Linked DNA regions of Schizosaccharomyces pombe. The protein of the gene in region 4 interacts with the protein of the main gene of each other region in a biochemical or structural test. Each region holds a gene or a part of one and is shown on either strand. Other genes may lie near its edges.

The links.
Region 1: the proteins of rpb3 (region 4) and rpb5 form a complex in vitro, tested with the Schizosaccharomyces pombe proteins (3 studies listed by BioGRID).
Region 2: the proteins of rpb3 (region 4) and rpc10 form a complex in vitro, tested with the Schizosaccharomyces pombe proteins (2 studies listed by BioGRID).
Region 3: the proteins of rpb3 (region 4) and rpb8 form a complex in vitro, tested with the Schizosaccharomyces pombe proteins (2 studies listed by BioGRID).

Annotation. Positions count from the first base shown.
Region 1 is NC_003424.3:1,051,433-1,058,684, forward strand, and holds rpb5 (DNA-directed RNA polymerase subunit Rpb5), read left to right. Parts: upstream 1-3,186; 5' UTR 3,187-3,302; coding exon 3,303-3,377; exon of another isoform or gene 3,378-3,441; coding exon 3,442-3,524; exon of another isoform or gene 3,525-3,615; intron 3,616-3,735; coding exon 3,736-4,210; 3' UTR 4,211-4,474; downstream 4,475-7,252. Other genes in the region: SNARE protein Bet1, read left to right, coding at 297-307, 351-489, 539-742; mannosyltransferase complex subunit Alg1, read left to right, coding at 1,552-1,735, 1,812-2,244, 2,288-2,822, 2,914-3,036; autophagy-associated lipase Atg15, read right to left, coding at 4,709-5,983; trm402 (tRNA (cytosine-5-)-methyltransferase), read left to right, coding at 6,963-6,983, 7,033-7,082, 7,191-7,252. UniProt on the Schizosaccharomyces pombe protein: DNA-dependent RNA polymerase catalyzes the transcription of DNA into RNA using the four ribonucleoside triphosphates as substrates.
Region 2 is NC_003423.3:1,672,367-1,679,177, reverse strand, and holds rpc10 (DNA-directed RNA polymerase subunit Rpc10), read right to left. Parts: upstream 3,540-6,811; 5' UTR 3,444-3,539; coding exon 3,368-3,443; exon of another isoform or gene 3,315-3,367; coding exon 3,199-3,314; 3' UTR 2,990-3,198; downstream 1-2,989. Other genes in the region: ubiquitin hydrolase Ubp11, read left to right, coding at 1,602-2,654; pmt1 (DNA methyltransferase), read right to left, coding at 4,076-4,900, 4,945-5,112; ATP-dependent RNA helicase Cdc28, read right to left, coding at 5,429-6,811. UniProt on the Schizosaccharomyces pombe protein: DNA-dependent RNA polymerase catalyzes the transcription of DNA into RNA using the four ribonucleoside triphosphates as substrates.
Region 3 is NC_003423.3:2,219,046-2,226,446, reverse strand, and holds rpb8 (DNA-directed RNA polymerase subunit Rpb8), read right to left. Parts: upstream 2,802-7,401; 5' UTR 2,676-2,801; coding exon 2,606-2,675; intron 2,547-2,605; coding exon 2,345-2,546; intron 2,297-2,344; coding exon 2,191-2,296; 3' UTR 1,727-2,190; downstream 1-1,726. Other genes in the region: rRNA processing protein Pol5, read left to right, coding at 1-407; SRR1 family protein, DNA-repair associated protein, Srr1, conflicting annotations across species, read right to left, coding at 304-1,059; SPOM_SPBC14C8.11C (uncharacterized protein), read left to right, coding at 3,318-3,797; mrpl24 (mitochondrial 54S ribosomal protein bL28m), read right to left, coding at 5,154-5,684; protein tam10, read left to right, coding at 7,251-7,353, 7,400-7,401. UniProt on the Schizosaccharomyces pombe protein: DNA-dependent RNA polymerase catalyzes the transcription of DNA into RNA using the four ribonucleoside triphosphates as substrates.
Region 4 is NC_003421.2:1,782,323-1,792,287, forward strand, and holds rpb3 (DNA-directed RNA polymerase II complex subunit Rpb3), read right to left. Parts: upstream 4,677-9,965; 5' UTR 4,658-4,676; coding exon 4,578-4,657; exon of another isoform or gene 4,536-4,577; coding exon 4,486-4,535; exon of another isoform or gene 4,440-4,485; coding exon 3,676-4,439; 3' UTR 3,117-3,675; coding exon of another isoform or gene 1,653-3,116; 3' UTR 1,470-1,652; coding exon of another isoform or gene 1,464-1,469; 3' UTR 575-1,463; downstream 1-574. Other genes in the region: trp3 (anthranilate synthase component I), read left to right, coding at 1,464-1,469, 1,653-3,116; mrp49 (mitochondrial 54S ribosomal protein mL61), read left to right, coding at 4,968-5,107, 5,289-5,556; SPOM_SPCC1442.11C (uncharacterized protein), read right to left, coding at 5,680-6,228; CDP-diacylglycerol-serine O-phosphatidyltransferase Pps1, read left to right, coding at 7,274-7,395, 7,483-7,714, 7,998-8,361, 8,445-8,449; sqs2 (G-patch type RNA-binding protein), read right to left, coding at 9,024-9,587. UniProt on the Schizosaccharomyces pombe protein: DNA-dependent RNA polymerase catalyzes the transcription of DNA into RNA using the four ribonucleoside triphosphates as substrates. Component of RNA polymerase II which synthesizes mRNA precursors and many functional non-coding RNAs.

The DNA.
Region 1 (7,252 bases), on a different chromosome or scaffold from region 4:
CAAGAAGGGATCTATACTTATTTTTACTAAACCCATAACTATCATCTCTGTTTCGTCTGCGGTAAAAAAAAAATTGTTTAGATTAATGTAAAAACAGAGCAAAATGAGATTTGTCACTTAGTACAACAATGTGTTACCTCTACACGCAACTCCTGAGTTGCGTCGCATGTTATTTGATGAGCTGACTTTGCGCACAAAACCAATACATAACAAAGAGATCTTAGGATTTGGAAGTTGCGCTACACCAAATACTTTTCATATTCGGTAAAGGGAAAGATTTTAAAAAAAGCTTCAGAATGGGATCAAGGTATGTACTAAATCTGATCAATCAATGTCTAACTAATCATTAGATTCGGTAGAAGAAAAGAACGCAATGGCGATATGTTGCCCTTGTATGAGTCTCAATCTCCTCAGCATTTAGACTCCTTGGAAAATGAAAATGATGAACGGATTTCAAAGTTAACTGGAAAAGTCAAGTCTTTGAAAGAGGTAAGATTTTTGCCATCATCAGGAAAAACATGCTAACTAATTTTAATAGCTTACTATGAATATTGGGACTGAGATAACGTCTTCTACTAAGTTGATGGAGTCAATGAACGACTCATTTGACTCGACCAAGTCACTTTTGAGCGGGACAATGACTCGATTAAAGAATGTTTCGAAGAATGGAGGAATTTCAATTTGGATGTGGCTCGCCTTCTTTTGCCTCGTTGCGCTTATCCTCGTTTTGGTAAGATTTTAGGCATTTTGCTTACTACCTTTACTCTTTTTTAGAGTTAGCATTTTTATGATTCATTTTATGGCGTGTATAATCTGTTAAAATTGTATACTTGAAGTTTCTTCATTCTCTTTTCTTCTAACATTTTCATTCTGATTATTTTAAACTTATTATCGATAGAAAAAAAACATTCATCCACCTTTGGTGTTTCCACACAAGTGGTTTGTCACGATAGGAACGCAAATCCTCAATTTTTGTTTTCCTAACGACTTTGTTTTTAACTTATTACATCCTGTTATTATAAGTTTCTATCTGTTATTCATGATACTAGCCCTTCACTCGTCGTCTTACCATTTTTGTAAATTGACGCAACTATTACATTTGAGTTTTATTCAAGTTTATCGGCATGCAGGTCATGTCTTTTGCATTTTCTATTCCCAAGCTTGAAGTATGGAATGTTTAAGTATGTGATACGAATCTTACTACTTAAATTTATTTGCTTATTACATTATTTCTGCGTCTAGTGTTCTTTTACTTCAATACTTGAAATAAAATTTTTTTTTTTTCTTTAAGAGTACAATCATGCTTCTATTCCTTTTCCTTTGTATTTTAAATGCATGTTATTTCGAGTTTCGACATATTGGGTAGGTTGCTGTTTAATAGTGTATTATGGGCACAATAATATTTACGTAAACCATCAGCGCTGTACACCTACCTATAGAAAGTTGTTTTAAGAAGATATTCGCTTTTTATATGTCTAACAGTATTTAATAACTAGTTTTCTTAAGCGGAAGTTTCGAAATTCGATCAGTAACCGTGAGTTTGTGTACAAAATGCTAGTATTGAAGATAGTTTTATTTTTATCTTTGGTGATATGGTTTAATTTAAAAAAGAGGACGGATAAGAAAAGAATTATTGTTCTCGTCCTAGGAGATATTGCAAGAAGCCCTAGAATGCAATATCATGCCGTTAGCTTCGCTAAACTTGGATGGAAGGTTGATTTGTTAGGCTATCAGCGTAAGTTATCTAAAATATTTGAATATTTTAATCTATACCACATTAGGTGTATTTGTTGTCACTAACACTGTCGTAGACCCCGGGTCATCTGTAGGACTTTTCGAAAGTCATGAAAACATTCGTTTTTATCCCATTCCTTCACTTCCTGCGTATCTTCAACCTAAGAACCGCCTTCAGTTTTTGTTTTTGGGACCATTGAAGGTTTTACATCAATTTCTTGCACTGAACTGGGCTCTTTTTGTTCGAAAACCTGCTTCATTCCTGTTCATTCAAAATCCTCCTTGCATCCCTGTTTTCTTCATTGCTCAATGTCTTCATATACTACGTGGTACAAAATTTATCATAGATTGGCATAACTTTGGATATTCAATACTTGCGTTGAAATTAGGGAAGCAGCATACCTTTGTTAAATTACTTAAAATTTATGAGAAATACATGGCCCGAGGAGCATATGCTCATTTGACTGTCTCTAAACGGATGAAAGATGTTTTACAAACTTGGGGAATGAAGTAAGTATAAATTTGCTTTTTGCTCAACTCTAACATTTTCAAGTCCTTGCTATGTATGTTATGATAGACCCCCCAACCACTTTACTCCCATTAAAAATGAACAGAAAAAGCAAATGTCTATCAAAAAAATACCTTGTGAGTACAATCCTTCTTCTACGAAGCTCTTAATTACTTCTACCTCTTGGACACCAGACGAGGATATTTACATTTTATGGGAGGCTCTTAATGAGTACGACAAAACTTTAGATACGCCCAAGCTTTTGGTGCTGATAACTGGAAAAGGCCCGATGAAGGAAGAATTTTCTCAGTACATTAAGAAGCATCCATTACACAAAGTTCGTTTTTGCATGCCTTGGCTCAGTATTGAAGATTATCCGCAGGTTATGGCCTGCGCAGATCTTGGTGTATGCTTGCATACTAGTTCAAGTGGACTTGACTTGCCTATGAAAGTTGTAGATTTGTTTGGCTGTGGTGTCCCTGTTATTGCGCTTTCTTATCCAACGATTTCTGAATTGGTACATGATGGCGAAAACGGGTTGATCGTTAACGATTCAAAAGCTCTATCGAAAAAAATGCAGGTATGAAAAAAGATTTTTTTACAAAAAAAACCTTGAATAGCGATTCCTACATAATTTATTGGCTTTTTCGTACGATAACTAACTGTTTTAGTATTTATTAACTCATGCTAATGAATTAAATTCATTGAAACTGGGTGCTCTCAAGGAATCTGAATATCGTTGGGATGATGAATGGAACAAGGTCATCCCTCCTATAGTTCAAGGTTCAAATTAAGTATTTAGATATTACATTCTCAAACCTGAATTCCTAATTACCTTTTTTTTAATAGAATAATCCAATCGTTGTTACACTATTTGACCGCATTATACATGCTTAACGAATACTTTAATAATTATTAGAACTCACCACCAAAATTTTCTTGCTATCTTCTGCACACTGCTCTGCCGTAACTCCCTCTTTTTGGGAACATCTCTTTTAGAAGATCAATTCTCATTTTTTAACTCAGTTTTTCTATTTTTGTTTCTTATTAATTTTTCATAATGTCTGCGGAAGAAAAAAACATTGTTAGGGTGTTTCGTGCTTGGAAGACAGCTCATCAATTAGTCCATGACAGGGTATGTATTTGATAATCTTTTTTCTTCAAACATATTAGAATTATTAACAACTATTATAACTTAGGGTTACGGCGTTTCTCAAGCTGAATTAGATTTGACGTTGGATCAATTCAAGGCCATGCATTGTGGCATGGGTCGTAATTTAGAGTATGTACATTTATTTAAATCCATCGTGATAATGGATTAAACAATCCGATTGATTATAGAAGCAAATTCTGTTGATATCTGCGTATATGTCCATAGACGCCGGTATTTATAAATCGGTTTACTCTTAATCTGCTTTCTAATTGATGAACATGCTTCTTCTAAACTTCCTTTATCAATTTTTTTTTAAAAACTGTTTTGCTAATGCGTTTAGTCGTACAACTTTGAGTTTTTACGCAAAACCTTCCAATGATTCAAATAAAGGCACAATCTATATCGAATTTGCAAAAGAGCCCTCCGTTGGTATTAAAGAAATGAGAACTTTTGTTCATACTTTAGGTGATCATAATCATAAAACTGGTATTCTAATTTATGCCAATTCCATGACCCCAAGTGCCGCTAAAATCATTGCTACTGTCACCGGCCAGTTTACCATTGAGACTTTCCAAGAAAGCGATTTGATTGTCAACATTACTCATCATGAGCTTGTTCCTAAACATATTCTTCTTTCACCGGATGAGAAAAAAGAACTTTTAGACCGCTACAAGTTACGTGAAACTCAATTACCCCGTATTCAACTAGCTGATCCTGTTGCTCGTTATCTTGGTTTAAAAAGGGGAGAAGTTGTGAAGATTGTCAGAAGAAGTGAAACTAGTGGCCGTTATAATAGCTACAGAATTTGTGCATAATTTTAATTGGTACATGTGGGCTAGAAATATCGCTTCAAAACTACCATCTCTTTCTTTTTCTTAAAAAATTTCAATTTGAACATAATAATTTAAAATTCAAATCGAATAAAGCAATGTCTATAGCTATTACAATGAGCTTAAATTTTTGGATTAGATAGTTTTTAGAACAATACTTTATTAGTGATTTATTCAATAAAACATCAAGGGTTGGCATTCACGTTTACTTTTTATTACCAAAAGTAGATAGTTTATAGTCAGTACTGCTTTGTATCAATATTTCATTAAGTTATCATAGCACAAACGACTGTTTAAACCGAAGACTAAAGCATCTTCTTCTTGCTGGTACTTATTTTAAGCAAGCTAAAAATAAGTTTTATTATAGGTATACTAGAAAATAGGCATACTCGAATCTAATAAAGTGTGAAGGTTGAAAAGTTTGGCGTTCGTTAAAGTTTTAAGGACATTATCAGAAGTTGAAGCAAAGGACAGCCACTCCTTTCAACTATCATCATCAGGAAACTCCCACAAGTAACAATCAACACAATTCGGTGTGTGTGAGCAATCTGGTAATTTTTCGTATGCATCTATAACATCATTCAAAACAGTTTGCATACGATGGTGGGTAATAGAAAGATGCCACCCTTTGTCCTTTACAACATCATATAAACATTCCTGTCCTGTATGACAAGTTGATTCCATCGCATAACCTCCGGCCCAGCATAATGAAGTTGGACCTGTGCATTTGCCCAAATATATTGGATCAGCATTGTGACCAAAATGCCATACTAAACTTTCTTCGTCCGGTAATCCTGGAGGCATTGGAAGATGAAGACGTCGGGCAGCCATTCGATCACCAGGTGCTTCAAAAGTGACTGTTGGAATTCCAAAAGAAAGTCCCATTAAAGCGGCAGTAGCGCCACCTAATGAGTGTCCAGTCAGCCAAATCTGTGCATCAGGGTATAATTCTTTAACACTATAAAAAATATCCAATGATGCAGAATAATACCTTGAGTCATCTTGCACTTCATCCTCAAGGCAAGTTTGACTACAGGTGTATGTATTTTTATAGCAACCACAAACCGTAGACCAAGCCCAGCTGACACGAGCGCAACAACAGGAAAAAAGTAAATTGTCATTAACGCGATCCTTCTGCGAGGTACCGCGTCCGATTCCGAAGATGGACGTACCTTTCATCGCAATAATTATAGTGGAATTGTCATCATTGGAAAAAACATGTCCACGTAGACCATCTTCCTCCCAACCAAATCCTTCAGGTGGAGTTATATTCCAATCAGGTCCTAAATCTAACCAGTCCCCGTCGAAAGGAATTTTTTGGTAAGCATTGTAGCTCATCTTTCCAAGGGAGTAAATCGTTTCTTTATCAGTAATATCAGGAATCACGATTGCTTCCTGTTCCCATAAATCAGCTGGTGAATTCGCTTCAGAATAAATTCCTTTCATAGACTTATATCTATAATCAGTCAACGCATCGCGAGACTGATCCTTCAAGTGAACGGAATATCCTTTCTTCATTTTCAACGGCAATTTTGATTCACTCTCTGCGTAAACACTTTTCTTGGCCACATCTAGTCGATAATATGATATACTGTCCTCATTGAGTCCGTAATGAAATACATGCTGTAATTTGACATTAACCTTATCAGGCACATTTTCCGAAGATTTGATAACACTTTCAAATACTCCTGTACAACTAATCCTAATGATGAAACAAAAAAGGAAGAAAAAGCGCCTCAAGAATAGCAATTGAGACATTGCATGAATAGTTTGCTTTCCTTTTGTTTAAAAGAGCAACCGAAAAACGTTATGCGAATCTAATCCTCAATTCTAATAAATACAATGGGATAATTCAATGATTATGCTTTATCAGCTCATGTACATGCTTAACTCGTTTATGTTGCTCATAAATAGATGTTTTAAGTTACTTAACGCCTTTGGTAAGCAATAATTAATACATTACACTGCAGTAAGTTACGCATCATAGCGTGGTGTTGTATGCTGATAATGTCGCTATTTGATATAATATCTAGGTAATGGACACTGTAATTTGTGAATTTAGGATGAATGTATGGCATACAGGTTTTGTGACATGTTCTTCATAACGATACCGGAGCCTTAGACTATAATAATGCTATGATTGTAAGATTTATTTATATTGTTCCTAAATACGGCAATGTTCCTTCTCAGAAAAGACTTTGCAAATGTAACATGTTTTGCTATGGAGGACAAGGTATGAATTAATCATCCTTCGCTTTATAGTAGCACATTAGGTGCTTTTTATTCCCATGCTTAGCGGTAACCTATTTAATGGCAATAATGAACGCTTGAAATTTAACTATATTAGCAGTATGCGCAGCTCTTGTTGTTTCCCTAAAAGAATAAAGTCATATATGGATATATTCTCCTACATACGCATACTGATAACGATATCAACGTAAACATTTTTAAAGTCAGTTGGAAGAATTTAGATGTCCAATCTGAATTTTCTGTTTTTAAAGTCACCAAGACCTTCCAAATACAAATGCAAATCAGCAGTTTTGTTCAGCGTCAGAACCTTAGTTAGCATGATCTTTATCGTTATTTTAGCGATAAACATTTTTTCAAAGAAGTGCTAGGTCTCGTAAATAAAAAATAAAGACACATTGCATTGCAAAGTTTGCTTAACACTATTGAAGTTGAATTTTTATGTCTAGTAAACACTGAACTCTGGTTTGTGAGTAAATTATTGTTTGTAATGGGGAAAAGAAATAAAAAGGTATGATACTTTGTTAATCGGCCTTCTTTTTTTTTTTTAACAAAGATAGGTGACTCAGGGCAAAAGGGCTTACAATGACAAAAGTGAAATTGTCTTAGAGTAAGTGTACAAAGGTGCTTTTTTACGGGGTTTAAAGCTTTATTGGGATATTTTTAAGAAATACATTGAAAAGATCATTATTGTAGGAAATAGTCAGCTAACATGCAGAAATAAACAATTCGAAGGTTACTATAAAAAGCAAAATTTATTTCGAGGAAAGCCAAATGATG
Region 2 (6,811 bases), on a different chromosome or scaffold from region 4:
CGGCAGACATCAAACACCGATGATGGATGGAGAAAAGAGATAACTTTTTGCTATGCTTCGTTGAATATATGCTTCATCAACTGCCCATCCTTTGCTAGTTTTTTTTTGCATTGGCAAATGAATTTATTATGGTTAATCATTCAAAAGTAAAATTCAAAAGTTATTGACATTACAAAAAGAATGTACCGCTTGTTCTCTTGTCATACCTTCAACGTCTTCCTTTTGTTCCTTCTCCCTTCTCCTTCCTTCTCTTTCCCTCTCCTTACTCTTCCTTCTTTCTCCTTCTTCCTCCCTATTCTTCCTCCACTTCACCTTCTTTCCTACTCGTCCTCCTTGTCCTCCCTCTCTTCTCCCTAACAAATCATGTTGCATCTCCCTAACTGGTATGCGGAGGGCTGCACAAATAAAACTTCATTCTTTTCCTTCTTCCACCAATCGTCGCTTTTACGCATCATTGCAACCCCTTGGGCTTGCCGGCAAATACAAACGTCGCTGCCAATGCAAAAAACCTTTTTTTCGTCTCATCAGGCGCATATTTATGCTGAGGGTTTGGCCCTCCTGTCCCTCTCTTCCAACCTGCTTTTTTTCTCTAAAGGTTGCTCTTTTATACACATATCTGATTGCAAATTATTTGCTTTGTGTCGTACTTGTGAATGAGTGAGCTTTCTCTGCAAAAACTTTAATACCTTTACTTTTATCTTAATTTCTCCATCAAAAAACAATCCATACCGACAAATCGGCACTGCCTCCCCATCGTCTAATCTTACCTTACAAAAAATCCTTCACACATAATCAAGTGAAAAAAATCTCCCATCTTTTTTGGATCCCTTTTTTTTTCTTCTTCGAAAAAACTTTTGTCTGTTTCTTATAGACGCCTCTTGCCTTTTTTCTTGTTCTTGATTCCATCGTAATTTATTCTCTTTGATAGGATCGCTATACTTTTTTTTTCTCTTTTCTTATTTTTTTTTTTTTAAATTGTGCTATTTCATTTCTCTACAATTACTTCCTAACGTTTTTTAATTTCTTTTTCTTTTTTATCCTTTCATATCTTATCGCCTATTTCATCTATTGCGATCGCTAAAATTGCAAAGGTAAAATCATTCTACCACTTTCAACTTTATCTATTTATTTATTGACTCCCTCCTCCCAAAAAGTAATATTTGTGTCTTTTGTCGCATTACTCGACAACATTCTAATTGCTGACACTTTTTTTGACAACTGTTTTTTTTTTTAAATTTGCCTTTGTAAAACTTTCAAACTTTTACTCATCCTATCACTGATTATTTCCTAAAAAGGTTGTTTTATGCTCAAAAAGTTTGGTTCTTATTACCTCGTCTCCCTAACTATACCTATATTGTACGTTATTATCGTGTCCTTTACCTCACCGCCATTGGACTCGTGTTATCGTTTATACCAATAAAGCTAGTAACAACAACCTAGTGGATATATGCTGTGACTTAACGCTCGTCTTCTATTCTTATTTCCCTTGCCAAAAAAAATTTGTTTTTATGCATAAATTTTTTTTTTCTTTTGTAAATTATATTCTCTGTTACCTCTAATAATTTCTTTTCCCTAATTCTTCATTGCATGCATTCATTATCATGTCTACAACGCCATTGTCCATTTCTAGGGCAAAAAAATACAAAACAGTTTTCAAGGGTGCCGCCATTTTAACTACGTTTGCTGCCCTTTACATCGTTACCTCTCCTTCCACTGGCAAGAGGTTGGTGAAAAACGCCTCCATCAAAGGCCTTTACAATGTTTCGGGTAACGATTGTTTCCTCAATTGTGTTTTGCAATCCCTAGCAAGTCAAGAATCATTATTGGAAATCCTAAAACTCCGTTGTTCTTCCTCTACCTTATACGCTACCCTTTATGAACTTCTGCAAAAATTAAATAGTGGCCCCGGTAATCCAATCACTCCCGGTTCCTTCCTCAATTCATTAGAGATTGCCACTAATAAAAAACTTGTTCGTTCCATTCAACAAGATGCACAAGAGTTTCTACAACATCTAGTGGAAACTTTGGAACTTCAAAAACCTCACACTTACAAATGGTCGAAGGTACTCTCCTTTCCTGTAGATTCGCCATTCATAGGAACTATGGAGCAAAAGGTACAATGTTGTCAATGCCTTGCCATTAGTATTAGTTATTCTACTGCCACATCGATACAGCTTTGTCTACCTCCGGAGTACAGTGGAAATTCTAACGTTTCCTTGCTCTCTTTAATGGAAGCCGATCGCGAACAGCACATCTCTGACTATAAATGTGACTCTTGCTTCAAATCCTCCCCAAAACATTCCAAAACTTCATGCATTCGTACCGTTGATTGGAAAAATCCTCCTACGATTTTGCAAATTCAACTTGAGAGAACATCATATACCTGCCAAGGTTTAACCAGAAATAATGTTTCTATCTCATTTCCTAGCAAACTTATCCTAAAAAACAAACATCATTATATTTTACGATCCTTAATCACCCATTCCGGAAGTGTTACTTATGGTCATTATCTTTGCTATAGACTTCAAGATGACATTTGGTGGAAGGCTAATGATTCTTTAATTACTAAATCATCTCTCAATGAAGCTCTCAGTCAAACTCGTTCAGCTTGTCTTTTGTTTTACGAAATGGAATCTCCTCTTGCGCTTGATTAGCGCATATATGCTAGTTAATCGTATACGTTTTTGTACCTTAATAAAAAATTCTTGATATTTCTCCTAATGATTCCGACTGATGTCACCCTTTATAAACTGTTGAAAGCTTCAAATTATAACCTGTTGTTTTGTAGCTAAAGCATTCAATACTAATATTTTGCAAAACTTGTGTATGAAAATATATGTATGTATGTATCCACCGTATCTGTCCATAAAATCGGTTTTCTTGACTTTAAGATTTTCAAGTGGACGATTTTTTATAGGCATGGTTAAAGTACACATGGCACTTTCAAACCGTCGCCAAATGACTTATAATTTACTAAAAAAAATTTTAGATATACTCATCATGTACAATTCACAGTTTTTAATGCATCAAATATCCAAAATGTTATTATTGTCATGGGTTATCCATTTAACCCCAGGACCTTCTAATTTCTCGAATTAAGCATAAGGACCTGCATATTACACCATTTTTAAGCCATTTCTCAAATTTTAAAAGTTATAATTCCGTTTTTCTCTTTTCATAGTCTGAAAACTCTAAAACTTAGCGTGCTTCGAACTGAACCATTCTCTTGGTTCTCATTTTGTACATAACACGATGCCCACACTCTCGACAACGAATAACTTCTTTCGCTTGGATTGTATTACGCGCTCCGCAATCTGATGGTCAGTCTTTTATCATATACTCATTTAATTCTACTCAATGATCATACCCGCACATAAATAAATCATAGTGGCTGGTCTGGGGGGATTGAAAGCGGTACCGCCAGTGGAGGTTGGATGATTCATTTTGTAAACTTTTTTAGTGTATTTGAGTCTAGTTAAATCCTGTGATTTTACTTCCTCACTTGAACTTTCTAATTGTGGTGGTGAGTAGTAGCGCGCAAATTTTTACTACCATACTATTCTCAATATTAACGCTTCAAAAAAAATTGGGAAGCTAATCTTATAATACATTAATGAGTTAAAAGTTCTCATTTAAAGTACTTCAAGTACATTTCCATTTATTGGATATATAAACTTCAAATATAATTTCGTATCTAATTTTGACGTTCTTTTAAATTTAACCTTTATTAAATCTAGCAAAAGAATAAAGGGCTGGATACATAATTTTAAATTTAAATCGATAAATAACTAGATTGTTTAATTTATATTTCATAACAATTATGTGTACGTGTGAGGATAAATACAATAGCTCAAAAATAATGTATTCCCCGAGTTCTCCAATTTTTAGTGTATAAATATACGATTTCTTTGTCTTGAAATTAGTCCTGGTAATTAGTTATATAAAGCATTCAGAAACACTGTATGCATTAAAGGGTAATTCCAATTGAAATAAGTGCCTTTTTTTGCAGAACTTTTATCGAGTAATATTAATTTTCCTTTCATTTTAAAAAAATAGTTTTGACTTCTAACCGCTTTTAGAAATTTAGAGGTTCCAGTAATAGAGAAATCAAGTATGAAACAACTTTAACGTTTATACTATTTCCTAATAAGCGATACATACATTTTTCGGTTACATTAGACTTTGACCATTCGAGGCTTTCCGGGAATCCCATTAACCTGGCGACTTCTCTGGCGGTAAAATACCGAAGTTGTAAAGCCATCCGGTTCCTCTCAAATTGCTCGTGCGTATTTTCATGATCTGACATCTGCAAAATTGAGCCTGCACCTTGTACTAAATGTGTATATCCCCGTGTAAAGCAACAGCAGGAAGAGCTATCTGGCTTAACTATATCAAACTGATGGCCCCATTTATTTAACACAGACTCTAGTACCATATATGAAGACCAATCTCTTTCTATCTCCAAATAATCTCTTATTCTTTTTACTTCGCCTTCTTTTTGCGCTACCTCGCTAAATTGAAAAACATCATCAATACTCCATTCTCCTTTGAAATTGAGCCTAGCCAATCCATACCATCTACTGCGAGAATTAGGAATGTTGAACTGGTTTGGACTCAAAATACCTTCAATTAGGTTGTAACCACAATTCCTCAAAACTTTCCTGCACTCTTCAGCTGCCTTGCTCTCCTCAAAACCCTGAACATTCTCAATTAGAATGTACTCAGGCAAATTATTTACATGAGGAAGCACATTTAAAATATTTAGAAATGCTTGGGAACGAGGATCAAGAATATCTTTACGGTTTCCTATTCTAGTAAAAGGTTGACAACTGGGACTCATAGTCCATAATTTACAGTCAAATGCATCAAAATCCTTGGCCGTTAAAGTTGAAATATCCATCTATAAGTATTAATATAGTTATCGAGTAAATCCTTGAAACATACGTGTTTAGCAAGTTTTCCATGATTGAGGTTATAAATTTCATTTGCCTGTGGGTTGATATCTATTGCACACACAATATCAGCCGGTATATTTGCCAGGTTCAATGCATAGTGCATACCTCCAATACCAGAATATAGCTCCAGGACCCGTAATCTTTTTGTACTAAGCATTGAATGTAACCGAGCATGCAACACTCGGTAATCGTTTAGTGAGGGTTACAAAAGACCTACCTGCATTAGATTTTTTGCTTGGATTTGTTAAGCTTGAAAAGTCATGAGCATTTCGGGCCTTTTCAAAAACGATAAAATGTTTTTTAGTATTAAAAGTAATTAATATACAACATGATGACTTAAACAAAACTGTACGTCTTTTTGAAGCTAACTAAATGAGATCTTTTAAAAGTTTGTCCATTATTGTGAAACATAAATTCATTATGATTATATACAACCAAATCGCCTTTAAAACTAATTTTCCTTTTCCACTCTTTTACCGCTTATGTCGTTTTTGCGTCTTTTGCAATTCTTCTATATTTTCTGGCTTGAAATAATGGGGGCTTATTTCCAAGAGCCACTCGGGTTGTATTTCAGTAATTTGTCTGCAATACTCCTTAGTTGTCAAAACCAATTCAAAGTAAATGATGACTTTTGGCTTTTTCTCAGCTACAGAAGAACTAGGGTGAATATAAACGGTTTGATTACTTTTAACAGTGCGATAAGAATCCCCACTACGATCCAAGCGTGCAGCATTAGAAAAATAACCAGCTGTGATAGCTTTCTTAATAGGATCAAGGGACTCTGAAGAATTAGTTACCAATTCAATTTCCACCCGTTCACAGAGATTGGCAAGTTGATCACGAACATCTCGAGCTCGACATAAACTCTTATACTGTAAAAAGTTTTCACGGGCCCAATTGTACGAAAAGTCAGTATCTACCCATTCATTCCAAATATGAAGAAGAGTTAAATGATCACCACCAGGTTGGGTAAAGTTCGCTCTAGCTTTATCCGCTTCCATTATTTTGTCTTTTGGTCTATAGAATAAAGAGGAAGCCTCCCCTAACATAGAAACAATTGATAACACTTCTTCAACACATCCATACTTTGAAGATGCAATCAAAGATTTAGAAAGCATAGGATCTGTAGGAAACTCTGCCATCTGCCTGCCGAGCTTAGTCAATTCTCCTCTATTGTTTAAGGCACCAAGCGCATACAATAACTCTAATGAACGCATCAACGTTTCAGGTGGTGGAGCATCCATGAAGTCGAAATCTAAAAGATTATTAATTCCTAGGGATTTAAGCAAGAGAACAATATTTGTCAAATTTGTTCTTTGAATTTCAGGAGATGTTACCATATCCAGTTCATTGTTATATGTCCGACGCGTATATAAACGGAAGCACTTTCCAGGTCCTACTCGACCAGCACGGCCGGCACGCTGATCAGCAGAAGCACGGGAGCAAGGCACAGATACTAAGCTTTCCATACCAGTCCTTGGATTATACATGTTTTGTTTGACAAATCCAGAATCAATCACAAAATTCACTCCGTCAATTGTTATAGAAGTTTCAGCAATATTGGTTGCTAATACAACTTTGCGGGCACCAGGGGGTGTAGGATCAAAAATTTTAGCTTGCAATTCAGAAGGCAGATTGGCATAAATCGGACATAAAATTATTTCCGGAATTCTTTTTCCTAGTATCCGACAAAGTTCTTGCATGTTTTCGGACATTAATTCAATTTCATCTTGGCCCGTTAAAAAAACTAAAATATCACCAGCAGGCTGGGTAGTATGTATTTGAAGAATGGTTGTAATAGCCGCTTGTATATAATTTGCTTCAGGTTGCGGGGTGTAATAAATATCGACTGGATA
Region 3 (7,401 bases), on a different chromosome or scaffold from region 4:
AGCACAAAGTTTTGGAGGAAAAAGGGCAAGCGGTATTTCGTAATCGCCTTAGCAAGTTAAAATGGACAGAAGAGAAACCTTCATCAAAAAATGTACTGGAAGCACTGAAGAAAGTACATGTATTATGCGGAAAAAAGGCATCACTTGGTTCTACAGGCTCGTCAATTTCGCAACTTCTGTTGAAATTACTAGCTGATACCCCTTACCTGAAAGAAGGTGTTGAAGTTTACCTTAAAAGCTTCCTTCTTTGGATACAAGAGCCCTCGAAGAGTCATTATAATGCAAACATTTTTCATGATTTTATTAACTGGGGTGCTCAGCAACGCTTGAAGCATCAACAAACTTCGACGGCTGCTTCTTCTCCACAAAAGACTGGGCATCATGAAAATGAAAAGACAAATCATTGAATGCATACACATTAGGGAATTCAGGGAATAAAAGTCGGGTATAATAATTTTTGGTACACATTTTGTAGACGTTTGGGTACGTAGAAACAATTTCTTTACTAGGCTTGTTGTCCACATATAGTTGTAAATTGTTGCCGCACATGATAAAATGCCTGGGATCATCATTTACATAGGCAGCTAACCAAGTTTCATATAGTGAAGTAGGGCAGTGTGGCATATAAAGTAGAGTGTATTTTAAGCAGCTGGGTGTTGGTGGGTCTGGCAAAACACAAAACCCTTTATTTTCGAGAAATTCGACATCATCTTTGAGAAATGCTGGATCATAAAATGAACAAAATCTTGGTTGCAAATTAAATATTTTCATAATTTCAAAAAAGAGAGACAACTGTAAAGAAGCTGTTAAAGTGTGTATTCTACCAAGCCCAAGGATAATGCATTTGTGGATAGGATCTTTAAATTCTGATAATTGACTTTGGACACTTTTTAAAAATTCAGAGTACTCTAATTTTTCTCTAGAATTATCTAATTTACGCTGTAAAGTATCTTGTGACCATAAATCTGTATCACCTTGAGTAATGGTGTTTGAAACCTTAGGAAATTTTCCTCTTCCATTTTTTTTTTTACGAGACCGTTTAACAACAATAAAGTCCATGTTTAAATTATCAATAAAGAAATAAATACCTGAGTAAAAACTTAAAGTGCAGGAAGGCCCAACACTTTTACAATCCCGGTTCCAATTGCAGCGAAAAATTTTAGAAGGATATAATGAACATGGAAATGAATACACACAAAAAAAATAAAAAGGAAATTTGAGGAAAAAAGCAGGACTCAATAATTTCTCTTATTTTCAAAAAAAAAAATATTATCTCAAATTACTAAATCCCTTGATCCAAAAAGATGATAGTTGGTTTTGTTTACGTGAAATAGAGTTATTTTCATGCGTCTCGAAATATCAAACTACATATTCTTTAGATAATCAATATTTAATAAATTAAAAAGGTAACTTACTCAAAAAAAAAAGAACCGGTCTCTACAAACGAAATTGTAAATGCGAACAAAGAATTGGGCAGAGTAACTTGAAATTGTTAATTAAAGCTCGTATTGCAATAACGTACCGAATATTTAAATAAAGAAGTTTAAAAAAGTAAGCTAAGTTGCATTTAACGAAATCATATGTGATCTAACGAAACTATCCTTTATTGTTGAATGTAGCGATTTCTGCACGGATTATTAGAAATGATCCTCTCGTCTAATTCAATGAGGAGCGAATAAATTGTTATACTATTGCTACGTATTGATATACATCTTCACGACTGACTGTGGTCAACTAGTCATATTCACTCCTTGGATACATAATGTTGTAAAAACTATACTTGTTTCTTCTACCTATAAAGCTAGGCATAATCGTACATATTTCATCTATTAAGATGCTTTATGCAAAATCAAAGACAACAAGAACCTACCTGATAGCAAAGCGTTTTTTAAAAATCCAAGTTTGAAAGTTGCTGCTCTTGGAATTAAACCCAAAATGCGGTTAACTTAGAAATAGGAAAATTAAAATATCAATTACTATTTTTAACATTTAAATTATAGAACCTTTTTTGCTTCCCTTATCTCTAAGACTTTAAATTGTTCACTTTAAAACGAAGAGATTGAATTAAACCACCAAAAAATTAACATGTCATAATACGATGAAGAAAAGCTCTTTTTAAAAGGTGATTCGTTTTCCTTCTCTCCTTTCCTTTCCTTGGAAAAGCATGACAAAGATACCCACGATCATTATTTACCTTCTAAGTAATAGATAAACATGGTCTAATGACAAACGATACAATTTTCTATGAGAGCCCTCAATTGCCATCAATAAACCGCCAAAGCTTACATAAACAGATCTTTGTAATTAGGTTAATAAATAAATTAACAACTGCTTTTACACTTACACTTTCTCATCTTTAGCTTCTTCCACCCGATAGACTTTTCCATACATAATATAATCAGCAGCTTCCTTTAAATCAGGGCTATTCAAATTGCTTGTGATTTGCAAACTAAAGGTTGCATCCTTTTCTAAAGGATAAATTTGCGAATTAATGTCAAGAGTAAGATTCATGTCATTTTGGCCTGAGACAGCCGTAATTCGTGAAACTGGGTAAGGTTAGTAGTTTTCTTTCTCTTGTTTTGTTTTTTTTTTTAATTTCACAAACCTCTTTGATACTTTTGTTTATCAACTGAAGTGACTGTAAAAATCTCATCTAAAAGTACGGATTCCGACATTTTTAAAACTGGCGTTTCCCAAAAAACAATACAGAATTATTTCCCCAAGAAAAAGAGCGTAATAATGAGCAGTAATATTTACAAACAATAAAGCTTGGTACCTATCAAATTTTTAAATTCGTTCGTGAAAGGCTCAAGACACAAAATCGCCGGTCTAAAAAAAATCAACAATCTCTGCCTATATGATATTTCATTAAAATTTGCTATGTAATTTTGTGAATAACACATAAGGATACGCTACGCTATTTCTCATTATTTCATAAACATTAGAAAGAGCGTAAATTGTATTGGAAAGCTAACGTTCTTTACTTGAGCATCCTATTCATTGAATAATTCATCAATAGCTGTTATGCAAAAAGCTTTTTAAACGACAATTGCTATCAAGTTTGAAGAGAGCATAGCGAACATACTATTCAGGCTTATATTTCTACATTGAGCTTTATTTAAGGGATTTATTACAAGTTAAAGAATAATTATAAATTCTCATCACTTAAAAAATTCAGAGGTATACTTTATCTAGGTGGAATTGACGTTTCTGAACACCCTTTGGGATCTCAGGTTTACTGTACACCATAATAAATTGTTTTTAAGACCAAACCAGATATTCTGAATTTACAGTCGAAACTTTTATCTATTTCTCTGATGCAATTTGATGATATTATCACCAAAATTTTAAAAGTCGGTATTATAAGCATACTGTTCATCATTAATATGGCTAAGAACGCTGTTAATAGTCATTTTGGTATTCGAACCCCAAGATCTGTATGTCACGTACGCAATAGGGAAAATATATATTTATACTGGACAACTTTTGACGCTCATAAGTTACCGAATGGAGGAAATGCTGATATGGCACATTTCTCTGCTAACTGTTTACATGCTGGGCACACAGTAAAATTCGTATCAGCAGACAGGCTAGGCAGTACAACTTGGGAATGCAATATTAAATTTGGCATACTAAGCTTTCCCAATTTTGGAAAAGACGATGCAGCACAAAATTGTTTTGCTGAACCAAGTATGAAATCCATATCAGCAGATACTCAACACATTTCCGCTAGGGAATACATATCTGGAACGAGTAAGGGATTCAAAACAGCTACACCTAAACTCCTGAATATATAGTATTGACTTAAATTGTGTGAATTTTTGTTGGATCACTCGCTCACTGTCCCAATTGATACTTGGTGTTTATCATTTGTAGCTGCTTTAAGTCAAAATGAAAAACAGGTTTGCCATAAAGGTACTGTTACAAAACCTATAAAAAATTCAATGTCCCTAGATTATTGGGTTGTATTTAGCAACCAAAAGCTTGGCTAATAAATCACGACAAATATGAGTTTGTAATCCAAGGAACATTTTTGTCAACTTCAATGTGCTCAACATCTTTCGTACACTCTGTGTAGACAGTTTAAATAAAGGAAAGAGCGCCCAGACAATATGCCTTATCAGTATAATAAAATGAATAGAAAGCTGAAACAGTTTTTTTGGAATAGGATTTGTTATTGTGAAATTGAATCAACTTGCAGCAATCAAATTTAATCACTTGGCGCATAGAGGATCTTGATTATATTTTCTGTTCTAATTTAGGCTAATCTGTTATGAGCAAGGAACAATTTTTTTTTTGATCGGATACTCTCTAAAGCAATACATCCGTTTTGTCAGATGGATCGCATTGTCATCACAAGAACCAAAGTGAACAAGCTCTCAAGGCCAGCAGTCATGACTTCTTTTTTTTCAATTTCAAGACCTTTTATAGTGATAGAAAACTACGCCTAGATGGGAACTGATATCAATGTTTACACAATAAATATCTATTATCCCCCATATTCAAACGAATCATTAACTATTCTACAGACTCCGTAATTGGCATTGAATGAATTTATTGAAACGGGAAAAGATATTTTGTTGAAAAATGAGACCAAAATGTGCGAATGCAAAAATAAATGCATGAGAGAATTGATCCATATTACTTGAACCCCGATACTCCAGAAATTCGAAGCAAAAAACATATGAGGATGCACAGGAACCAGTGAAAAAAACTTCGGTAAGTCAATATTAAAGTAATAATTAAGATAATTCATTTAAATAAGTAAAATTGGAACTATAAGGTTTATCACAAAACACAAGTTGGAAAACAAATCAGGCAAGTCCTCTTCTGTCTCGCTTGTAAGACCAGTTATAAAAACATAAAACAAATAAGTTCCATGATATGATTTCTTCTCAAAAATTTTTAAGGATAAGAGAGAGAAGATAATATTGTAACCTTTTTGGAAAAAAATGTAAAGGAAAGTTATAAACATCGTACCATGGCAAATTAATTGTAACGCATTACTACTACATTGTTGCTAAATCCATGAGTAACCCAGTTAACTGATCGATCATAGAAAGATTGAAAACGTAAATTTGTTCATTAAAACTTTAGCTCACAAGAGTAATCAAGCTACTCATAAATCAACTTCAAGGCGGTGCAATTATAAGTTACACAGACGTATTGACCGATCGTTCCTTTCCAACTAAACTTTTAATTTGTTGGTATAACTTCTTGCTGCGATTTAATTTAAGTACCACATCCTTAACCTTTTCGAGGTATCGTTTCTGTGCGCCTGAATCGGAAGGAAGCTTTTCAAGAATGGGGTTTTTAGCACCCAATTTATGTAGTACCAATGCTCTCAATTCTACTCCTCTCAGTCCTAATGATTTAAGGCGTGAAGGCGTTGACTTTACAAGATACTCGTCAAGACCGCCTTCCTTGTCAATGGTCCGCAAAACTCGGGACGTGACATACAAATGAAACTTTTCTTCTAAAACATTTGAATACAACCATTTAGAATGACCGTTTGGTATCCATACACGGCGCGTTTTATGTCCAAACTTGGGGATTTTGTTGTTACCAGCTTCGGTTTTCGACCCACCATATAAATTTTGTTGAAACTTGCTAAAAGGATCATATATCTTTCCTTTTACAGGTAGAGTTGGGTATGCCAACTTTCTAAGCAATTTACTTGCCATTATTAAAAAATTGCGTTGTCAATACCAAAAGTGGTCTTGGTAAACGAGTTATGTTTCTGCAGGAAAACGCTATCCGAATTTTTGTTGACCCATATTAATTTAGCAGGAGAAAAAAAAAAGTTTATATATATTTGTCCAAAAAATATTTAAAATTGTCGGTGTTTACCATTATCTACCTAGTATCTATTTGCATCGTTTGCTTCGACCAAAATGGGATTTTCGAGCTAACCATACGTTCAGAAATTCGTAAATCGATAAAAAAAATAGTTTGTAAATCTTGAAAGTGTAATCTATATTGAGATTGTAATGCAATTTTCATGGGACCATCCAACTCAACAAGTGCACCTTGCCGTAATCTGATTTGAAATTGAATTAAATCAATGTTTTTCTCATAGTTTTTAAATTTAATTCCACTATTCCAAAGAAAGAATTGATATGATATGAACAAGCGCCAATCTCAACTTAAATTTGGCAATGAAGGGATCTCATTAGCGGTTCCTAAGCAATCCTTACAAGAATGCTCCTATATGTCCAATTTAATTACAGATAGAGAATCAACATTTTTATCTTACTTTGTCCCGTCTAAAGATCCAAAAATGCTCCCAGTATATAGATTTATGTTTCAAGAATCTGCCGACTTAAAGCATTGCAATCATAAAATGCAAGCTTGGCGTTTTCCCAATGAGATAGAGGCTTTTAATGATGACGGGGAAGAATACTCAGGACAAAAGCTTCTAAACGTGTTGCGAAAAGAAGATGTCTATGGAATGGTCGTTTGCGTCCGATGGTATGGAGGACAATTGCTGGGTCCTGTTCGCTTTCAGCATATCACCATACAGCCAAACAGTCAATTGATAAATACAAATCAGTACTAGAGGAAGAAAGAAAAAAGCAACTCCTGAGGACGGAGACAGGTCTACTCCGCCAAAGTTCGTCAAGATCAAGTTCACTGTTGGATCAGAGAATACGACAAATTACCGCTAAAGACAAAACTGTTAATCTTTTAAGGAAAACTCTAAATAGACCCTTACTTCATGAAGTTGACTATCACGGAAAAAGTCTTGAAATTCTTGATATGTTGTTGCAGAGCAGAAACAGTATGATATCTTCTTTGCGATCCGAACTACAGGAAAAGAATCAAAAAGATAAAAAAAAAGAAGTAAATAAATTAGAAGAGAAAATGACTAATGCTAAAGAACCTAATGTGAATGTCCCTTCTATGAAAGCGTCATCAGCTATTTCCGTTGAGACGCCTGAGACAATTGAATCAGAAGCTTCAGTGGACCACAAGGAAGCATCAAAGATCATAAAAGATGTAGAAAAAGAAGAATAATTGATTGCCAACCGATCTATCTAGATGTTTTCCAAAAACGGAACAGATTTTTGGTACTCAATAGATGGCTATATGCAGCTTAACTATAATGTTTAGAAATGTATTCAGATCCATAAACTTTTTTACGAAAAAAGATAAAACTCCGAGCTGTCTAAGGGTATTGCTTATTTGGCTCATTTGTTTACGATTTTATCTCTATTGGAATTCCACCAACGCCACGGTCTAAAAAAAAAATGGGAAGCTCCAAATCCTCAAAGAAGGATAAGCAAATCCATCCTTTTGGAACAGATGTTTCTACTTTTCGAAAGCTTTCATCAAAGGAAAAAAAAAAACTCGGTATGTTGGGCAAGTTTCTTTAAATTTCATTAACATGAGTGTTCAGAT
Region 4 (9,965 bases):
ACAACTTTCAGCAAAAACATGATCTTCCGTTGCTTGCAATCTAAGTGAAGCTCAATTCCCCGAATCGGGATTTTGTACGACAATATCTTAACTTGAAATCATGAGGAATCAACACTGTAGAAGTAAAATAACTGTTTAATAACAGTGCGATCTTACCTTTATCCTATACTATTTTTCCTATTTTCTTTTTGCATCTGCGTTTATTGAGTGAAGTGAAAGAGGTATTTATTCTACTTAATAACATGAATTTGAACTGACAGAGATCCAATATATAACAAACAAGATTCCTATACTCGTTTAAAAAGGATTTGAATAAACTGTTTTTAGGATACTGTTCTATTTACTTATTTATTTTCAGGCAAAAAAATAGTGCCGCGTGAAAGACCCTCTTTTGCTTTTCCCGATTGAATACATTATACAATTAAAATCCTTTTTTGCTAAAAGATTGAATTTAACCAGCGATTGATTGTTTTTATACGTTCGAGAGTTTCATCTCCGTTTTTATTAACTTGCAAGATCATTCACAAGACGAAAAATCCTTGATCGAATAACATTACTTTTTGCTTATTAAGTTGAACTGTTCAGATTTATAGATGACTAGCCTTGACTGTTCAATTGCACTTAAACAAGCAATCACTTTAATTCACTTCGATCGTTTCGGTATAAGACGCACTTCAAATCCTAAGGGTAGTCGACTCTATTAAATTTATAAATTTGTTAGCATAAATATAACATTATTCTGAATTGCCCTAATAGCGAGTCATGTATTCTCTTATACCAATTCCAACGCCTAAATCCTCTTAGTTCTCTTTCGTTATAATCGTTGTTCCTCTTTTCAATTTCTGAATATTATAAGCGCATGATTCACGAAATTTCATAGATTTTGTAGAGGACTTTTACACAGTGTCTTCTCCTCTATTCAGGTCTGCAACTTTCTAGCTAACATACACACCCTTTTCATCTAAACGAATGCCTTTTATTTTTAACATTTTTAAATCAAACCAAGGAGACTAGATAAATAAAATAAAAAAAAAAGAAATCAAGATCTTAACTAGATTGCAGTTTATGTTCGACGAAACTTTGGCCATTTTAAGAATTTGCCTAAGAGCTTAGGAAAAAAATAAATCTTATCCTAAAACAAAATACTTTTATCGGTTTGTCCGCAGTTAAATATAACTTCCTAATTCCTATTTCCAGTCTTTTATTTACATTTAACCATATAACGTTTTCCAACGCATCCGTTATATTTTTCATCTAATTTAGATGAATTTTCCAACTTTCACAAGTTGTCTTCTTCCAGCAGCTTTACGTTGTTGAATTAATTGGTTCTTTTGTTTTCTTTCTTCGCTTACAGAAAAATTTGGAATTGCTTGTCTTTCTGGAAATAGATCGGTTCAAGTTTAAGGGATTTTTTTGGTTTGCTATTGAATTTGCACTTATTCGAGTATAGACTTGTCAATAAGATGAAGGTAATTTGATTTTTTTTGTTCTAACAAGGAGACCCAACCTATGGAAAATAAATAGTAGTATTGGGATATATTGACGAGTTTAGGATTGGGTCTTTCCTTTGTTGTATTGCTTTTAACTGTAAAAGTCGCCGTTTCTAGGGCTATGAAGCTTAAAATTAATACATGATACTAATACTATTTTAGATTTATCCTGACTTGAAACAAGTTCAAGAGCTTGCTGAAAAGCACAAGGCTAACAAGATTCCCATTTATGGAGTAATCCCTGCCGATATGCTGACTCCTTCAGTAGCCTACTTGAAGCTTAATCAAGGAAAGAAGTATTCGTTTATTTTAGAAAGTGTCACTCAAGGAGAGAGTGTCTCAAGATACAGTTTTATTGGCAGCCCTTATAGAATATTAATGGCCAATGGAAAAACAGATCCTTTGGCACGTTTAGAACGTGAGTTGAAAGAAGTTAAAACAGCCCCTGTTGAGGGTCTGCCATCTTTCAGTGGAGGTGCTGTGGGCTATGTTTCTTATGATTGCATCAAATATTTTGAACCCACTACTGAAATGCCTTTAGAAGATACCTTGGGTCTTCCGGAGGCTATGTTTTTCATGACCGACGATTTAGTCGCTTTCGATCATGCTTATCAGACTGTCAAGATAATTTCTCATGTTTGCATTCAGCAAGGCCGACCCATTGAAGAGGCTTACGAAGCTGCCGTTTTCAAAATCAATATGCTTAAAAAGAAACTTGAAAGTCCTGAAATTCCTTTGCCTGAGCAAAAGAAGGTCCATTTAGGATACGAAGCTAAGTCAAATGTAGGCGAAGACGGGTATAAAGCATTTGTTTCCAACCTCAAGGAACATATCTTTAATGGCGATATTTTCCAAGCTGTCCCAAGCCAACGGATTGCTAGGCGTACAGATTTACATCCTTTTAATTTGTACCGCCATTTAAGAACAGTTAACCCGTCCCCTTATATGTTCTACATCCACTGTGATGATTTCGACATAATCGGTGCTTCCCCTGAATTACTGGTTAAATCAGAGCATGGGCGTATTATCAATCATCCCATTGCCGGAACTGTTCCAAGAGGAAAAACTAAAGAAGAGGATGAGGCATATGCCAAGGATTTACTTGCTAGTGTCAAGGATAGAGCTGAACATGTAATGCTGGTGGACTTGGCAAGAAACGATGTCAGTCGTGTCTGTGATCTCGACACAACAAGTGTTGACAAGTTGATGACTATTGAAAAGTTTTCTCATGTTCAGCATCTTGTTTCTCAAGTTTCTGGTGTTCTGAGACCTGATAAAACTCGTTTTGATGCATTCCGTAGTATATTTCCGGCTGGAACGGTCAGTGGGTCTCCCAAAGTCCGTGCAATTCAGCTCGTTTATGGATTAGAGAAAGAAAAGCGTGGTATATACGCGGGAGCCGTAGGTCGTTGGGGCTATGAAGATGACAACATGGATACTTGTATAGCAATCCGTACAATGGTTTATAAAGACGGAACTGTTTATTTGCAAGCCGGTGGTGGTATTGTGTTTGATTCAGATGAACAAGATGAGTACGTGGAAACTTTAAACAAACTACGTTCAAATGTTACTGCAATTGAGGAAACCGAAAAATTATACGCTGAAGAAGAAAACTCTTCAGCATAAAAGTAAAGGAGACGCTTTCGGTTCTCGTTGTACATGTTATTTTAAAGTGTTGAGGTTTTTAAAAACTTTTTTGTTGTCTTTATTTTTGGTAAACGAATAAAACATCGTTATAAAAAATTGTATTCTGTAATCTCGTTGTCCACTTGTAGCAACTTTGTCTATTCATTGTGAGCATGGTGAGCCGATATAAACTTTCCAACAAAGAGTTCAAGAGGCAATCACCGAAAATTAAAAAGATATCAAAACGACAATTCCGAAAGTGTTCTCTTTCACGAAATTATCTAAAGCTATAATAAATCCAAGTGAAGAAGAACAAAATTATGATATGAGGGAGGAATATATATCTCTATATATGCATATCAATACGTACAATATGTTGTAGCCAAAAGCCAAAAAAAAAAGGATTAGATAAAAATGTGTAAGGTATGACATGAACGGACGCAGGCCATAAATTAAAAACTTTTAGATGATTAAAAAAACGCATCTAGAGTATTTTTTATAACAACAAACATATAAAGGATGAAAATGGATAATTTTTAGAAAAGAATTGAAGCATAGTCTACCACGTGTTTTCTTCACCATTTTGATAGGGAGACCAGTTCATTTCTGCATTCTCCTCCATATTCAGTTCGTTAGCAGAAAGTTGAGTAGGCTGCTCTTCGTCGAGATCACGAACTAAAACTGCAAGCTTTTCCTGAAGAATTCGTAAACCTTGAACCATTATTTCATTGGGTGGTATAGAACCGACACTTTCGACATCCATATAAAACCGACGCGGTTCCTCTTGGAAGTTGAATGGTTCGCCTTCCCGCGGTGGTTCTTCCCAATCGGCATTTTTGCTTTTTGGCCACTCTGCATCTGCATCATTCTCAAACCAGTAATCAGTATGCTGTAACTTGTTCCATGGATCGTATTCAAATGCAACAGCTGAAGTAGGTGACCACTTAGCATGTTCTTTAGCTATACCCTTCTTGGCAATGCAACGCAGAGAAATTTCCTGCTCTTTTCTGAGTTTGCAAATAAGCGGTCCGCGTGATTTTGGATCGGCGAGAATAGGGTGTCCAAGAGAAGAGTTAGAAGAAACAACAAGATCTCTAGCATAAATTTCCATCGTACCCTCACCAGTACATTTGGCATTTAGGAACAACTCGACTGAACACTTGGGACAATACTGATCGCAATCGCAATTGCGCGTATATTCCAAACCTACTGGAGGCGGTTCATCGATGTTGGAGCTATCCAGAGGTATCATACCAAGACGATGTGCTAGAAACTCATCAGGCATGACTGAGGTATTCACATTAATTTCAACTAGGTCAATGGCTAAAACATCATTAGTATTTAATTCAAGAATGAACCTAAATCTTACCCACTGTTGGAATCTCTGCAAGTACAACACGTCGCAGCGAGTTTGCAACTCTTTCAACTATTAGAAGGAATTTCCTAGAGCTTTTCACTTACGCCAAACTTGTATTTGTAAGGACAAAATCCACCGAGTTTTTACTTATATTTCGTATCGTAATATGCGTTTCTGAATCCATAATGAGAATGTGTCGTTTGGTCTATGCTTGTTGCAGAATTTCATACTCATTTCTCCCATTCCGCACTGTTAGGTGATCCCTTATTTAGCATAAGGACACACTAAACTACGTTAAATGCGAGATCAAGGAACTCGCTTTTAAAGAGAGCAAGCAACAATTGACAAGAGAGTACGAATCTACGGCATTAGGCTTAATTCATTAATATTTATATTCTCTGTTCATCCCGACAGAATATTTGAATAAAAACATATTGTTTCAAACTCTTTCATTTTTGTTTGGCTGATTATTACTACAACTTTACATTTTCGCCATGTCTAGCATAGGCGGTAAATTACAAAAATCTTTGCACAAGATTCGTGCTGGAGCTTTAGGGATTCCTTTACCAAAACATATTCAGGAAGTATCTATTCAATATTCTTTAGACAGCCGTTTGGGACATATGGGTGCTAAGTAAGTTTTGTTTATTCGTGTTAGAATCATCGATGTTGTCTATGTACTGGTACCTCAAACATTTTATGCTCAATTCATGTTTAATTCTCTCAAATAACTGCTTGATAATACTTTGTGTGAGGAAGCACTGATCTACGATTCCGTTTCATGCGTTGTTCATTGCTAACGTTTTAAATTCTAGAAAATTTGTAAAAGAATGTCTTCCTTCATTGTATTACAACAATTACGGCTTGAAGTTTAACGTTAATCACCGTTTACCGAACGATCAAACTCCAACATTTTCCATTATCTCAAACAACAAAGTAATCTATTCGTACGACATGCGGTCAAAACAGCTGGAAACAATTTCTTCCGATATTCAAAAAGCGCTTAAAGAACTTCATCACGAGTCATCCCCGGAAAACATTAAGGAAGCGCACAAACAAGATTATTCACCTCCTTCTAATTAAGCAAAAACGCTTTTAAAATTACTTTTTTTCAGTGAACAAAATATGCATCTTTTTTTTTTCTAAAAAACCTTTAGTTTTGCTGCAGTCCGTTTACTGTATTCCTTTGTTTGATGATCCATAAACCTACAATTCCCTATTTTCTTTTTTATTTAAAAAAGTTGTTTGAGTGAAAAAGAATGCTATCTTGAATACGAGCTTTAGTCTAAAAAATACATCGGCTTGCATTAAGATTTTTCTATCCTTGAACGAGAGCGTAAATGCCGTAAAATAAAAGAACAAAGAATGACCGAAATATTCTAACTTGGTATAAATCATATTTGTTGATTGAGTTCTTTGAAAAAGTTTTTGTACATGATTATGAGGGAATGAACTAATGATCGTTTGGTATGACAAAATAGCGTTTCTCCTCTTACTTGATCGTATTTTTCCTAAAGAAATAAAATTTCTGCCAACTTTGTTTATATCCATAATGCAAAATTCCTGCTGCAGTTTATTAGATATTGAGGTTTTTTTTCGGTCAGTGGAGGAAAGTGAACAAATTTGATTGTAGAGTTTAAAAATGGTTGAAATTGTGATCATATCAAATAGCCAACCATCTAAATTACGAAGTACAATATCTTTTTTACAATATCCTCTTACCAAACTCTTCGGGTTTCTGTTAACGATGAGCATGTACTTGTAAACGATTCAAAGTTTAACTGAACAGAAGATGTTATCTAACTTTATCTTATTAAGAGAAATTGTACAAAAAAAAACAGAGTGTTTAAGTTGATGTTTGAAAAGTTTAAAACAATACTCAAAAGTGCGCATTCGATGCTTTGTTACCAGATTAAATAGTAGAACATAAAATTATAGGAATCCATATTTAGTTAGTTATGAATGTTCTTAACTATCAAGCTATGAATAATAGAAAATTTAAAGGAAATACATTCTGTTTTAATTCAAGGTCTTGCTAGTATTTACATAAATAGTGCATACCAAAGTACTGTTCAATGCTAAAAGCTCCAAAAAAAACATAAGCTAGTTCATGTTTACTTTCTATATAATAAAATTTTTTACTTAACAATAGTGGCCGTTTGGTCTAGTGGTATGATACCATCTTAGGGTGATGGTGGTCGTGGGTTCGATTCCCACAACAGCCCAATTTTTTGCCAGTCGAATAACAATAGAAAGTTAGATGAAAAATGGCCCTTAATGTGATCGTGATATTTGTTTCTTTTTGAGTTGGGTCCAACTTGGAATTTTAAATGAGACGTACTATATACACTGTCAAAGGTCATTCATTACTCGGTTTTTAATCATCTTGCTTCGATGCCTTCTACTGCCTTATGCACACATATCTGGATCATACAACAAATTGCCGCATCCCCTATCAGCGGTGGTACGTTCCCTCTTCTTATTTTCTTCATGTAATTCAAAACCACAAACCACCATATTTAGCTTGGAAAATAGTTTAAACACTTCGCTCGTTTTATATTCATTGATTAGCTTTTTCGACTTTTATTCAAATAACAGAACGCACAATGCTGTTTTAACGATGCTAATAAATAAACATTAAAAGATTGATAAGAATTCCAAAGCCTGGATCGCTAAGCATTTCTAGACAATTCTCAATCACAACCATAACGATACCCTGCGGTGCCTTATTTTTGTTAGTTATTCGACTTCCGGTAAATAAACAGGTACAATTAGAACCAGAAACTGCCAATTTTGGAAGATGGTTAGATCACGAGTTTCTCCTGGATTGAAATTACAATCCGATGCATCAAACCAAAGCAATGATAAAGAGAACAAGTTACTGGCCTACGTAAATGATAATAGACATTTTTCACTCATTAGGTATGATTTACGTATTCTTGTTTACACCATTGCGAAAGGACTTTGCAAAAGGATTCATTACTTGAAATACTAACTAGAGGATTGTAGAGCCCTCCACCTTGCAGACTTGATTACTTTAATGAACGGGTTTTGCGGTGTCATGAGTATATTTTCAAGTTTACGTTACTGCCTAAGCGGACAGCAATCAGCTTTCCATTTATGGAATGCAATGTACTTTATGCCATTTGCGTTGTTTTTTGACTTTTTGGATGGTAAAGTGGCTCGTTGGCGTGGGAAATCTTCCTTAATGGGTCAGGAATTGGATAGTCTTGCTGATCTGGTATGTATAACTTCTCAAATCTGTTCCGAGACTATTTTCACATTGGTTGCTTTGACATGATAAAAACACGAGGAACATGATAAGAGGCTTCTTTGGTTGAATTTTTTCTTCATTTTAGCTAAGTCGAGCTTTTTTTTTTTGCTTCTCGTTTTTTACATTATGTCGGTTTGTTCAATGAGTCTGAATTTTTCTCAATAAACATGCGATTGCGTATAATTCTTGATTATATATATTTTTTCTCTCTCTTATCCGGTCTTTTTATATCATTATACTAACAAAATAGATTTCATTTGGCGTATCTCCAGCCGTCTTTGCCTTTTGTTGTGGATTCCAAACGTTCCTTGATACCGTTATACTTTCCCTTTTTGTTTTGTGTGGTCTAACTAGATTGGCTCGTTTTAATGTTTCTGTCAATTCCATTCCTAAAGATGGATCTGGCAAGTCTCAGTTTTTCGAAGGAACGCCCATTCCTACCACCCTCTCCTTAGTAACCGTTTGCGGAGTTTGTATCTTAAAGGGAAAGACTCATGAAAATCTACCTTGGGGTGAGTGGTGTGGAAACACACCTTTTGCATTTCACCCGCTTGTGGTTTTGTTTGTGTTGAGTGGAATTGCTATGACTAGTAAGAAACTCAAAGTTCCAAAAAGTACGTTTCTATTACATTCGCTCAAATATGTTTAGAATGCTCTTTTTTTTTATTTTGTTTATATTAACTGATCGATTTTTTAGTTTGATCAACTGATGCTTTTATTCAATAGAATCCAAATGAAACTTTACAGTACAGCGATCTGGGTATACACAGTTTTTTTCACTTTTTGCTTTTGATGTTACTCGCATGCGAAGCCTTTTCCTCTCTTAAATTTATAATCCTTACTGAATCTCTTCTCATATCCTGTTTTTCCTTTTTTCTTCCATTTCGAAGATAAGTCTGTCCTTCACCTATTCGACTTAACCATTTTTAACGTAAATGCACTCATCATTGTTCATTCCTTCCCCCTTTTCCAAATATGTATTTCCGTCCTTTTAACAATTAGAAGCTGTTTTTCAACTTACCAGTTTTCTATTGCTCTCTTTATGAAAAACTTATGAAATTGAATTATTTCAAGTGATTGTACCCTCAACGGTAAAATATAGTAAAATTCCTTTAATTATTATTTCTTATATAGTCATCATGATGAGCAACCAAAAATAAAATTCTTTATAAAAAAGAAACTTTCCCAAAATGATGGTGAAAAGTAATTTTTCCTTCTAAATAAATAATGTTTTGTAAATATACACTATGAGGATTTAAAATCTCCTCGTCAAAAACTAATGAAGACCCTGTTTATTATTTTTTACAACAGCCACAACCGGATCAACCATTCCTTGGTTTTCAGAACCAAGTCCCTTCCCCCGAGACCAACCCATCATTTCTAAAAGTTGTTTTCCTTTGCCATTATTTATAGCGGGAGCGCTAGAACCAACAACATGACCGTCCATACGCTTTTTTGTATTGGTTGACACACTTCCTTCCTGTATTTGCACGCGTTTCCTTTTTTTCAAACCTTTAGGAGTCATTTCAACAAGTTTGGATTTTCTTTTCTTTGACAATTTCACGTCAGTTTGAAGTGCAAAATGACGATCATACTCAATCATGCTCAACGAAGTCTCTTCTTCCGCAATGTGGCTCATATAATCTAGTTCCACTTCTTTTCTCCTTTCACCAAACAGCATTTCATATTTTTCTAAAGCATCCTCATTGCTCAAGTGCTTCGATGGCTTCTTTTTTGGTTGAACAATCTTTGGCTTCCTTGGAGGAGGTTTTGGAGATGCCTCTACATTTTCCCATTGAGAAGATGTAATAAAAGAACCGTCTTCCACAATAATTGCCATTGTATTAATAAATGTTCGAAAATTCAGCAAATTTACAAAAACCAGCCTGAGTTGGCATTGGTGCTATAAAGAATGCACAACCCAAGAAACTTAAATTTTATGAGATCAAGGATAATAATAGGGATTTATTAAAATCAAGCCTGACTATTCCACAAATTCGCTCTCAATTATAAAAGTTTTGTTCGTGCAGTATAGCTTGCTACTATAAACCAAGTGTGACTTGGTTGATGAATAATTGTTACTTTGGGTAAGTAAATACTATCGCAGTGGTTTTGATCAATTATTAGCAATACCCTGATAGAAAGGCTCAAATATAATTTTGCATGTTAAAAATACTAGAATTCTTCAATGCTGTCCGGCAAAAATTTCTTCAAACAA